2 linked regions of the Drosophila melanogaster genome follow. The protein of the gene in region 1 purifies or fractionates together with the protein of each later gene. This does not show direct contact. Each region holds a gene or a part of one and is shown in the gene's direction. Other genes may lie near its edges. The genes, in order: grau and eEF1alpha1.

What was found.
Region 2: the proteins of grau (region 1) and eEF1alpha1 purify together in Drosophila melanogaster (affinity purification with western blotting; one study listed by BioGRID). This does not show direct contact.

What each region holds. Positions count from the first base shown.
Region 1 is NT_033778.4:21,008,750-21,013,934, reverse strand, and holds grau (grauzone), read left to right. Parts: upstream 1-2,013; 5' UTR 2,014-2,089; coding exon 2,090-2,212; intron 2,213-2,289; coding exon 2,290-3,056; intron 3,057-3,118; coding exon 3,119-3,328; intron 3,329-3,390; coding exon 3,391-3,766; intron 3,767-3,829; coding exon 3,830-4,066; 3' UTR 4,067-4,171; downstream 4,172-5,185. Other genes in the region: CG9346 (uncharacterized protein), read right to left, coding at 1-22, 90-422, 490-533, 596-777, 838-1,256, 1,314-1,600, 1,657-1,773, 1,833-1,889; CG30291 (uncharacterized protein), read left to right, coding at 4,437-4,442, 4,505-4,679, 4,731-5,185.
Region 2 is NT_033778.4:11,889,045-11,896,270, forward strand, and holds eEF1alpha1 (eukaryotic translation elongation factor 1 alpha 1), read left to right. Parts: upstream 1-2,090; 5' UTR 2,091-2,200; intron 2,201-2,351; exon of another isoform or gene 2,352-2,421; intron 2,422-3,077; exon of another isoform or gene 3,078-3,140; intron 3,141-4,078; exon of another isoform or gene 4,079-4,151; intron 4,152-4,497; exon of another isoform or gene 4,498-4,510; 5' UTR 4,511-4,530; coding exon 4,531-5,922; 3' UTR 5,923-6,476; downstream 6,477-7,226. Other genes in the region: ERp60 (endoplasmic reticulum p60), read right to left, coding at 1-345, 1,627-1,775; MCPH1 (microcephalin), read right to left, coding at 7,081-7,226. UniProt on the Drosophila melanogaster protein: This protein promotes the GTP-dependent binding of aminoacyl-tRNA to the A-site of ribosomes during protein biosynthesis.

The sequences.
Region 1 (5,185 bases):
ATCCTCGAGTCGGTTGCGTTGCCTATTTCAGTATACATTTACAGTACAGTAAACATTTATGTTTCGAGGATTATCTATGCTAAACGTACGCATTGGACAAGGCTCCTTTGTGCACCACAGGAGCATCGGGATCAACAACCAGCTCATCTGGCATGCCTTGAGTGTAGAAGTTGGCAATCGGGGGCTTCCAAACCGGTCCGTTTTTAAACATACGGAATTCCTCCTCCCGCCATTCATTGGGCGTATCGCCCTGTAGCAAAGAGAACAGCTTCCATCGGTAGTAGATGTGGGCAGGACTCTCGTTGTCGAAGAGGAACGCAAAGAGCGGATTCTCCATTTCCCGAATCATGATCAAAGCCTCAAACATCGGTCCCTCGCGTATTACAAACTCGATCATCCGATGGATAACATTAAGAACAGCCCTGGAAAAAAAGAAAAGCACAGTAACGTGAGTTCTTGTTAAGTGAATGTCCTTGGTGCAATTCATACTTCTCTGTGGGTATATGGACTTTAACGACGCATTTGGCAAGTATCTACAAAATTGAACATTTTCATTTTTATTTCTTTAGACGCTAGCAGGTGATTATTCACTTACCCGCTCCATATTCTCTTTGTCCTCTTGGTTGAACTCCTTGTAGTTTTTCTTGGGCAGCACATCAGCTTCACTGGGTGGAGGTTGGGCATTGAAGGGCAATCCTGAAGGAGGCGGAGGCAGGGTCATCTCAAGCAATGCTTGCGGTGTAAAAATGGGCGTATTCATTATGGGCACAGTCTTTCCTGAAATATTAAGTAAGATGTATGAGGAATAAGAACTTCAATATAAGATCTATAGATTACCCCATCCTAGACGCATCTCGTAGCCCATGATGTAGCGCCCGTTCAGTGTCTTTAGGGCCCTTTCCGCATCCTTGCGGCTCATGTAGGCCACAAAGCCGCAATTGCGTCCCCTTTGCTTCTCCTCTTCGGAGCGGGGCCACATGATCTTGATACTGGCCAAGGGACCGTATCGCCCAAAGATTTCCATAAGCTGCTGCTCGGATATCTTGGGGTTCAGGTTGCCCAGGTACAGGTTTGTGGTATTTGGATCGCCCGTGTCAAACGAACCAGACTCCTTTGAGCTGCTTGAGTTCTGGGAGGTGGTGGAGACACTGCTGCTGGGCACAGGAGCAGCTGATGCAGCCGGTTGCTGTGCTGGTGCGGAATGGCTTGAGGCCATGTGCTTGTACTTGTGGCGCTCCTCACGCTCCTCTTGAATCCTGTGGGCATGAAACAATTAGTATGGAATACACACATGCACAACCAAGTGGGCCTACTGTCTCAATTCCTCCTTGAACAGCTCCAAGTTGCTCTTTTTCTTCTCCTGGTTTTTCTTCTTCAATGGACCCGAGTCCTTTTTGAGATCCGAGGCCAGGGTCTTGGCGTAATCCTCGACCTTGTCCGAGGAGCTCTTTTCCATCAGCTTGGAGACCGGCTTGTATAGCTTGCCCTTCTCCGACTTGTCCTCCCGCCGGGATCCTGCATCATAGGTGCCGGCTTTGACCCAAACTTTCGAGGAGGGGGTGGGTGCATCTTGGAAAGTCTCTACGAACTCTTTGAAGGCCTAAAAATCGTATTGGATTATAATGCGTGGAGGAGGGATTTGCTAGAGGCGCCTACATGTGCCGCAGCAGCTGCATCCTCCTTTTTTTTCTGGTCCTCGAGCTCTTTTTTGGACAATTGTCGTTTGGAGAAGGTGCCCACCGTGAAGGCCTCCAACTTCTTTTCGCTTATCCGCTGAAAACAAGACCGAAAAATGTTAGGCTCGTTTTTCCGGCTACACAGGACACCTTTACTTTTAAAGTGGCGGATGCGGCAGCCGAATCCTTGCTTTTATTCCCTTGTTTACTCATCTTTTCCACACAATATGCACATTATCAGCAAATACGAAAATAGGAAAACCAACAATTTGCCAGTGTGACCGACGTCGTACAACCAGTGCACAGAATGAACAGCGAACAAATCACGATGCAGCCGATAGTTGCGATGGGAGTTATCGACAGAGCTATGTAAATGACTACTTTTTATTATAGTTTTATCAAATAAATGCGAAATGGATATCTGCCGCCTCTGTTTACGCGGAGTGAGCGGCGCCCAGATGTGTCTACAGATCTTCGATGTGGACTCGGGCGAGAGCAAGGTGGCGGAGGTGCTGCGCCAACATTTCTGGTTCGAGGTAAGCTGCTGCCCTCCACCCACTTTTGTGCCTGGGAATCTTTTTTTACCACCATCTCGTCTCCGGAACGCGTACAGGTACTGCCCAACGACGAGATATCCAAGGTTATTTGCAACGTCTGCTGGACGCAGGTGTCCGAGTTCCATCAGTTCTACGTGTCCATACAGGAGGCCCAGGTGATATACGCCACCACCTCCAAGTTCAAGCAGGATCCGGAGATGGTGAACACCTCCTGGCCGGAGGAGGTGCTCATGCCGGCCGACGTCCTTGCCGTCGACAACGATGTCGGTGCGCAGATAAATGTGAATCCCCTGGACGAGTTAGACCTTAGCCAACCCATGTCCCCGGAAGACAGCAAGGTGGGCATCAAAACAGAGCGACAGTCACCCGACATGGAACTCCTCTTTGAGGATGCCAACAATGAACAGGATGAGGACTACGAGGACGACGAGGATGATGACACCGACGACCTGATCGTGACCCGGAGTGGACGCAAACGTAAACGGGACGTGGCCAAGCCGGCTAAAACGAAAAGAGGAACGGTGTCGGTGGGCAGAAAGGGGAAGGAGAAGATGGTGGTCAAGCGGGGACCGCCCAAGAGGATATTCAAGATGGAACGCCTGCCGCCGTTTTGCAAAGAGGACGAGGAACTGATCAAGCGCTACATAGTCATGGGCTGCGAGCTGTGCATATTCTTGGCCGAGGACTTCGACGGCATCCGCGAGCACTTCAAGGACAAGCATCCGGACGAGCGGCCCTACATCAAGTGCTGCGGACGCAAGCTCAACAAGCGCTGCCTCATCCAGGAGCATGCGAGGAGGCATGAGAATCCCGAGTACATCAAGTGGGTCTCTCTTACCCAAACCAATTCGAAGCGATTTGATAATTAGCTTTCCTTTCCGACAGATGCAAGGACTGCGGAAAGGTGTTCGCCAATTCCAGCGTATTGCGTGCCCACTGGCTGGTCCACCATGTTCCAGACGAGGAGTGCGACTTCCAGTGCGAGGACTGCGGCAAACGCTTCTCGCGACGCAACCTGCTCGAACTGCACAAGGGCTCCCATGTGCCCGTAAATGAGCGCAAGTTCATCTGCCCGCAGTGCCCCAAACACAATGCGTGAGCCTCGCCAGCTAAACGGCAGTGTTTCCAATGCTTATCGTTCTCCTTTCACACCACAGTTTTGCCACGGAGTACCACATGCAGGTCCATATCAGCATGCAGCACCGCAAGGCGGCCAATATCTGCCATGTGTGCGGCAAGAAGATCAAGGACAAGGCTGTCTTCGAAAAGCACGTTCGCCTGCACTTCGAGGAGAGCGGACCACGGATCAAGTGCCCGCGTCCTGACTGCGAGAGCTGGCTGAAGGACGAGGACAATCTTAAGCAGCATTTGAGGCGCCACAACGACGAGGGCAAGCTGTTTATCTGCTCAGAGTGTGGCAAGAGCTGCAAGAACTCCCGCGCGCTGATTGGTCATAAGCGCTACTCCCACTCGAATGTGATCTACACCTGCGAGCAGTGTGGCAAAACCTTCAAGAAGGACATCAGCCTTAAGGTTGGATAATACATATTACCCTTATTTATTTATGTGTTGTATTAAAGCGATTGATGTTTGCAGGAGCATATGGCGCAGCACACTGGCGAGCCACTCTACAAGTGTCCCTTCTGTCCCCGCACCTTCAACTCCAACGCCAACATGCACTCCCACAAGAAGAAAATGCATCCGGTGGAGTGGGACATCTGGCGAAAGACGAAGACCGGTAGCTCACAGAAGGTCCTGCCCAGCGCCCAAGTGGCGCAAATGTTCCGGGACGATGCCGATGTCGCAGCTATTGCCAATGACTATTCGGGTTAGGCCCGGAAATGCTTAAGGAAATCGATTTGCGGAAACCATTGCTTAGTTTTTGATTGACCTTTGTTTGAAAACAAAATATATGTATAATAGGAATTATTTGAAAGTACGAGCGGTTTGTTGTCATATTGGTGGGATTTTTGGCTATTTACATTTTAATTAAGTTTTTTGAATTTAAATGTTTCATTTAGCTACATTCAGAAATATTGTTTTTGAATTTAAAAAATTTACAGTGTGAATGTCTTGAATTTTTCAATTGGAAAAAAAAGGTATGATGGTTGAAGTATCCGCTTTGTTTATTACAGTAGACTGGTCACACTGCCAGCTGCTAAAATAATAGAAAACAGTCTGCGTGGACAAACATTTAATTAAAATGAATGTAAGCACTTTATTAACGAAATCTTTGGGAATATTTCGCTCATCAGCATTTTATTTGAGCAGGAGTCCGAGATCCCCATCGACATACACACGCTGAAGCTGCAGGACTGGCTGATCAGCCGCAGAATTGTGCCCAAGAATGTGCAGCAGGAGCTTAGGGAGATCCACAGGAAGATTAGCAACGCCCTGCAGGACATGCCCTCCAATGAGCAGCTGATCAAGCTGTTGGCCCGGACAAGTAGGTGCCCAGTGCCCAGAATGCCATCCCACTAATGTGTCCCACTTGCAGATATCAACTACTACCATGTGAAGGAGATCATTGAGATCCTCAAGCAGACGGAGAAGGACACCAAGAGCGTGTTCGGCACCTACGGCAGCCAGCGCATGAAGGACTGGCAAGAGATTAGCCGCCTGTACGAAAAGAATGCCACCTACCTGGCCGAAACGGCTCAGATTTTCGTGCGCAATGTGAACTACGAGATTCCCGGAGTGCGAAAGCAGATGGCCAGGCTGGAGCAGCAGGCGGACGAGACCCAGAAGCGAGCGCACGATCTGAACAAGCCCGAGAGCCAAATCCTGGCCGACCACTCGGCTTTGCTGGAGCAACTGGGCGTCAAGGGCGACAATCTGCATGCCGAGTTCGTCCAGGTTCTATCTGGTCTACCGGAACTATACGATAAGTCGCTGGTGGGCATTGCCAATATTCAGCCGGGCATCGACCTGTATGCGGAGGTCAGCGGCAAC
Region 2 (7,226 bases), 9.1 Mb from region 1:
AGTTTGGAGTCGCTGTCGCTGAAGTAGCCGAACAGCGTGGTGTCCTTGGTGTCCAGGAACTTTTTCAGCTCGGCAACGGTGCGCACGGTCTTGGAGGCGGGTCCCACTTGGGCGCGCATGTACTTGGCAATGCCGCTGGCTTCGCGTGGTCCATTGTAGTCCTGCGACACCTCATCCTGACGGAAAATCTTCAACGTTGGGTAGCCGCTGACGGAGTACTTGCTACACGTTTCCTTTCCAGCTTCCGTACAGTCAACCTTGGCCAGTTTGATTGGCGGATCATCGTCTTTCACGATCTCCGCCGCCTTGGCGTACTCGGGCTTCAATCGCTTGCAGTGGCCGCACCTTAAACAGGAAAAAACACTCTGTTAGGACACGTCACTTAAACATTATGTTGGTAACAATACTATCTAATTCATCATTTGTTATCAAGGCAACGGGAAGACAAGTTCCCAAAAAACTAGCTTGTAATTAAAGTAAGGGTGCTGGAATTATCAACTGTCTTATCACACAAGTACAAGTGCCCATTAGGCATACAGAGAGAAAAACGACTTGGTACTTATTTGAAACAGCAGAGTATAGTCTGCACTCTTAGCAGTGCAGATAATAATTCATTTTTGATAAAGATAAGTGATGCCTTAAGTTAACTATGTTATAATGAAAAGAGCAGTTTTATTGCAGTGTACAACTTTTTCAACTTCATCCCTGTGTATTTATGCTTGAATACTGATAAGGTTCGTCATGAGGGAATCAAGTCTCCATGCCAAGTAGTTCAACAGCTCTTTGGGGATTTCGAAAGCCGGCCGGCAAAAAAAACGCTAATAATTTACCTAGTTCATTGTCCAAGTGTGAGCTTATAGTTTACCCCTGATAATGGGCAAACAAATGGCTCAAAAGAGAGTAAATAGGCACAGTAAATATGTGTTATGTACTAAACAAAAATGTATTAAAAGGTTATTGTGTTCAGTGTGGATTACGATGGAAGTTAAAAATGTGTCTACTGACATGAGAAATTTATAGCACAATCAGCATAACTTTTGTGAGTAGGCAGGCAATTAAAATTGAAGTTTTAATATGGTTGGTGTAAACTGTTGGGAAATTACATTTGTATGAGAACTGTGAGTGTTTCAGACTATGATAACCAGTTTCAAGCTAAATCTAAGTTAACCCTTAGAATTACACATTCCTGGGATTATGGGTATAATGCATAGGCATAAGAAACTATAATAAAAGATGCGCTATGTACACTGGGGCCCCTATGCCTGCTCACTATCATTAGCCAGTGGACAAGTGGAGCAGGAATTGCACGGAAATTGTACCAACTAGGCACTTTGGCACCCCGCGCTCTAAAATGGCCGACGGCACCAATACTGGCATATCATCATTGCCCCTCTCTTTGCGTCTCGTTTCGTTCCGTCACTCGTTCCTTCTTTATTTGCCGGCAAAAGCAAGGCAAACGCTGACGTGTACTTTGCGCTTGCGATGGCCGGAAAATCGGGCATCGGTCGGCACTGGGCATTGGGAATCGAATTAAGTTGCGGACGCAACAAGCGGATTATACGCGAATCGCACACGCAATGCATTTGTTGTAGGATGGCGCCCGGCCACGCCCACTCACTAACTCACCAGGGGGCGTAGAACATGACCAGCGTCGTCTCGTGTTGTTTTAGGGTGGTGGCAAAGTCGTCGTCCCCCAGTTCCAGGACATCCTGCTCCGCTCCGGACGAGATGGCGATGAAGCCTAGTAGGAGCACTCCAGCAAGGCGCCACATCATTATTTGGGTTCACTTGAAGCGATATCGGTGAATAATTCAAGTTCAACTAGGCCGTCGAACGCCTACTTCTACAACAAAAACTGAGTACCGGACCGGTTCGGTATTTTTCAACGATTGAATTCGCTTTTTGCCTCTTTCGCCACGTCGCTTCTTATTCTGTTTCGTCGTAGTGTGGCCAGGTGGGGCTAGGCCGAAAATGTCTAAAGTTGGAAAAAGCTCTCAGTTGTGAGCTTTCCTGCATATGTAAACAATAAATAAAGATGGCTCATCATTTATTAATGACTAATGTCTATATGTGTGGGTTTTAAATGCTTTAGCTATAATTCTTTCCAGTCACACAGAAAAGTTGAGATCTAGATTTAAATTAATTTAATTGATACCGATTTATAATAAAATTTTGTCAAATTATCATTTCATAAAAGATGGTAATTGCATTTATTGTTAACTGATTTCGCAAGCATAACAATAATCATATTATTAATAACTAATTAATTAATTTCACAAAATTAGGAAAACACTTAGGAACTTTTAATTGCGTCCTATATAAGGGGCAGGCTAACAACTTTTGTTCTATGCACAATGAATAAATTTATTGAGTACAAGTGAAAACTGAGTGAAAAAATAGTCTAACAAAAAATATTAAGCAGTAAGTTACAAATTCAAATAAATATTAGCATTCTGATGAATTCCAGAAGAAAAAGTATTAAAACGTGAGATCTTAAGTTATAAATTTTTACAATATTGTATAAATTGATACAATACCAAATTACTTATAGTTTTATTTGTAGCATATTTTAGTTGTAGCAACGGACGCCAAAAAATGTATAAATAAATGAAACGTATTACATAAATTTAAACGATCTCAAGCTTCTATTGTTATTTAAAGTTCTATTACGTTAGGGTTCACATACAAATTAAAGTTCAGGTTCTAGTCTAAAAGTTCAAAATGCGGACTACTAATGCAATTGTTATAGTTTTTAAATATTAAGAGATATGTGTTCCAATATTACGTATAGAAATTATAGACATCGTTTTGTAGAAAATATTTTTGGAATCACTGATTATTTAGTTTTTCATATAAAAACAATGTCGAGCAAACAAGGTTTTTTAAATCCCTCAATCGTTAGGTTATTGTATTTTGCCACTTTCAATCACTTAAATTTCAATAAAATGAAGTGCTTCATTCGCGCGTAGTGGAAACACCGCAGTGAGAACACGGTTTCTGCTCTTTTGACAGTTGCGTAGCTTCGGTCACACCATGTGTCAAACGAGGCTTCCTGTGCTGAGCTCTGCCGAACGCTCGTTCACTTTGTTCGAATCCGTCGCCGCTTAGACTTCGTGATTTCTCATTCAGCTTATTCGAGAGTAAGTTTTACCTGCGAGGCTATAATTAAGTAATTTCTGCAACGGGACTGCAGCCAGAAAACAATTTATAAACAAATATGCAGCTGAGACGCCGAATTTGTGCATATTTCCAGTGTTTTTCCTGTGTGTGTGTAATAAACCCGGAGATAACCTCTAACTGCGGTTTTCCAAAGTGAAAGGTGGCCATAGAAGCAAACACGTGGCAAGTCTGCAAAGGCAAAAATTTTAACTGGCGTTCCCAGTTAAAGTTCCCAGCATTCTCAAAATAATTTTCCGGCTTTTCCGGCCGCATTTTCGCCCTGCAATATGGTGCACTTAGTGTGTAATTACTTTGCCACGCCCACGCCGGACACAGAGGTCATCCACCAGATGTGCTCATTAACCGAGAAAAAAAAACGTGCTTTCTCTCTTGCCTTTGTCATGACCTATAGATATTCCTTATTCTTTCTTTTTGCGGCATGGAATTCTAAAATGGCGACCCAGTGGCGTGAGTCAAGTGGGCGAAAAAAATTCGCCTGGCAACAAGCGAAAAAATGTGCTTTTTTGGGTTTCCAGCCCATTAGCATATCTGGTGAAATGGCACTCGCATCAGCTATTTCGCCATTTCCAACCGACTCCATAATTGGTTTTGGTAAAATGGCTGCCGCTGCACTACGTTCTTGAATAATTCGTTGTGTGCCCCTCTCTTTTTCATTTCTTTCCAATTACCAATTGTGCCACCGCGGCGAGATCGCTTGCATTTGTACAAGTCACACACGCACACTAATGCACATCCGCCATTTTGGTCTCTCTCTCTCTCTATTCCTCTCTTACTTTTCCTCCGGCCGGCAACAGCGTCACACAAATACACAGGCATAGATATACACACGCATAGGCAGATAAGCACATGTGTATTTGCGAATTAAATTTGCTGGAATTTTCCTTTGGACTCTTCGATTTAACATGATGATGATTTTTCAGTTCTGCTACTGAAGACAGTTGACGAAAGCAAAAATACCAAAATCACTGAAACAAAATCGAGTTTCCATATGGAATTTTATTTGCACGCTCTTTTCTGTAGTTGCGCCCCACTCGTTTTACCCACACCCTTACATGCGGGCACTGGACCTAACCTCAAAAAACACGTTTTGTACGGCTGCAAGAGTTTGAGGTTAGGTTGTGCTCGCGCATGCAAACAAAAGTCGAACGTACGCTAGGGAAATGAGAAAGTGTTATACCCACTAATAATTGTAGTTGTAATCCCACCGAATGCTAACGAATTGTTTTACCCTTTGTTTATTCCAACCTCTCTTGCTCGCCAACCCGCCGAACCCTGCAACCTTCCAATGTTCCAACGTTCCGTCAATCCAACACTCGAATACACACAACAGCCATAGTGTAATCATCCAACATGGGCAAGGAAAAGATTCACATTAACATTGTCGTGATCGGACACGTCGATTCCGGTAAGTCGACCACCACCGGACACTTGATCTACAAGTGCGGTGGTATCGACAAGCGTACCATCGAGAAGTTCGAGAAGGAGGCCCAGGAGATGGGAAAGGGATCCTTCAAGTACGCCTGGGTTTTGGATAAGTTGAAGGCTGAGCGCGAGCGTGGTATCACCATCGATATCGCCCTGTGGAAGTTCGAAACTGCCAAGTACTACGTGACCATCATTGATGCCCCCGGACACAGGGATTTCATCAAGAACATGATCACTGGTACCTCGCAGGCCGATTGCGCCGTGCTGATTGTCGCCGCCGGAACCGGAGAATTCGAGGCAGGTATCTCGAAGAACGGCCAGACCCGCGAGCACGCCCTGCTCGCCTTCACCCTGGGTGTGAAGCAGCTGATCGTTGGTGTGAACAAGATGGACTCCTCCGAGCCACCATACAGCGAGGCCCGTTATGAGGAAATCAAGAAGGAAGTGTCCTCTTACATCAAGAAGATCGGCTACAACCCAGCCGCCGTTGCCTTCGTGCCCATTTCCGGATGGCACGGCGACAACATGTTGGAACCCTCTACCAACATGCCCTGGTTCAAGGGATGGAAGGTGGAGCGCAAGGAGGGTAACGCTGACGGCAAGACCCTGATCGATGCCCTCGATGCCATCCTTCCCCCAGCCCGTCCCACCGACAAGGCCCTGCGTCTGCCCCTGCAGGATGTGTACAAAATTGGCGGTATTGGAACAGTACCCGTGGGTCGTGTGGAGACTGGTGTGCTGAAGCCCGGTACCGTTGTGGTCTTCGCCCCTGCTAACATCACCACTGAGGTCAAGTCCGTGGAGATGCACCACGAGGCCCTGCAGGAGGCCGTTCCCGGAGACAACGTTGGCTTCAACGTCAAGAACGTGTCCGTGAAGGAGCTGCGTCGTGGCTACGTTGCCGGTGACTCCAAGGCTAACCCCCCCAAGGGAGCCGCCGACTTCACCGCCCAGGTCATCGTGCTGAACCACCCCGGTCAGATTGCCAACGGCTACACCCCCGTGTTGGATTGCCACACCGCTCACATTGCTTGCAAGTTCGCTGAGATCAAGGAGAAGGTCGACCGTCGTTCCGGCAAGACCACCGAGGAGAACCCCAAGTTCATCAAGTCTGGCGATGCTGCCATCGTCAACCTGGTGCCCTCTAAGCCCCTGTGCGTGGAGGCCTTCCAGGAGTTCCCCCCTCTGGGTCGCTTCGCTGTGCGTGACATGAGGCAGACCGTGGCTGTCGGTGTCATTAAGGCTGTCAACTTCAAGGATGCCTCCGGTGGCAAGGTCACCAAGGCCGCCGAGAAGGCCACCAAGGGCAAGAAGTAGCTGGTTTGCTTCCACTCAACAACAACAACAACACGCAGTAGTAGCAGCAACAACAAGCATATAACCAACATCATAATGCAGCCAACAACACCACTCAATAATACCAGCAACAGCAGCAGCGAACACAATAGTAGTATAACACCAACACCTGTCCTGCGCAAGATGACCGATAAGATGATGTTTCAGCAGAAGCATAAGTTTAATTTCTTCCATCGAAAGGAGTTTCGACGGATACGAATGCTAAATGCAGACGAGGCCGCCTAAATTGGGAAACGGTGGATCCCAAGGATAAGAGTGCACACTGGGAAAACACTTGCATTTATGCATCCACTCCTCATCCACTTCCCCGTCGATCTTTAGTTTACTAAATATGGTATGATGCACGGAGTTGACTTCGTTTTATCATATCATATATAGGAATCCTCTGTAGCATTTATGATATCGTTTAAATTAACCTTTATACTTTGATATGTATCATTTATCTTACCCTACTTTTGCACACACTACTTTGTACACAAGAAAAGAACCAGAATAGAAGCGATAACTATATTTACAAAAAAAATAAAAACCCTATTTTTGTATTTCTTTTGTTTTTACCACCCAGCCCGTAAAAGAGCACTCTCTTTGCTTGTTGCCTCCCGATTTTCAGCGCCATGATCGATCGTCCCTAACTCCAAGTTCACTTATCGTCGATGCCACAAAGTACAAACAAGAGCTAGTCGAAGAGTACAACAATTGAATCTGACAACAAATACCTCAATCGTTTAAATAAAGCAAGCAATTGCATCTGAAGAATAATGAATATTTTTTATTGTATTTGAGGGGGGGGGGGGGGCTTTTATTTCTCATCGCAAATAGAGAAAAATGCATTGATTTATTTATTTAAATAATAACGAACGAAGTTGGAACAAGTGTTTTTTTATAATTTCTGTTTAAAGTTATGGGATATATTATTTCCTTCGTAAAATCTGTATAAAAACAAATTAAAAAATGTACTAGAAAATAAACTAAGATCGTAAAATACATATATGGATTTAAATATAACTATATTTACATTGGAGTAATTTGCACAAAAAGGTGAAACAGTGTGGGAAAATGGTACTCTGTGTGTCCTAGCTTAAATATTTAGTAAAGTGAAGTGGATGCACCCACTGATCTCTATTTGTCCAGCACAAACGGTGGATCGACGAAGTCGTGAAGGTGCCTTCTTTGTGTTTTGTCCTCATCGCGATCCCTAGGATCCTCGTACCGGATCCCATCGGCCGAGATAATGGCGCTCTTCATAAGATATTTGCCAAAGCGCT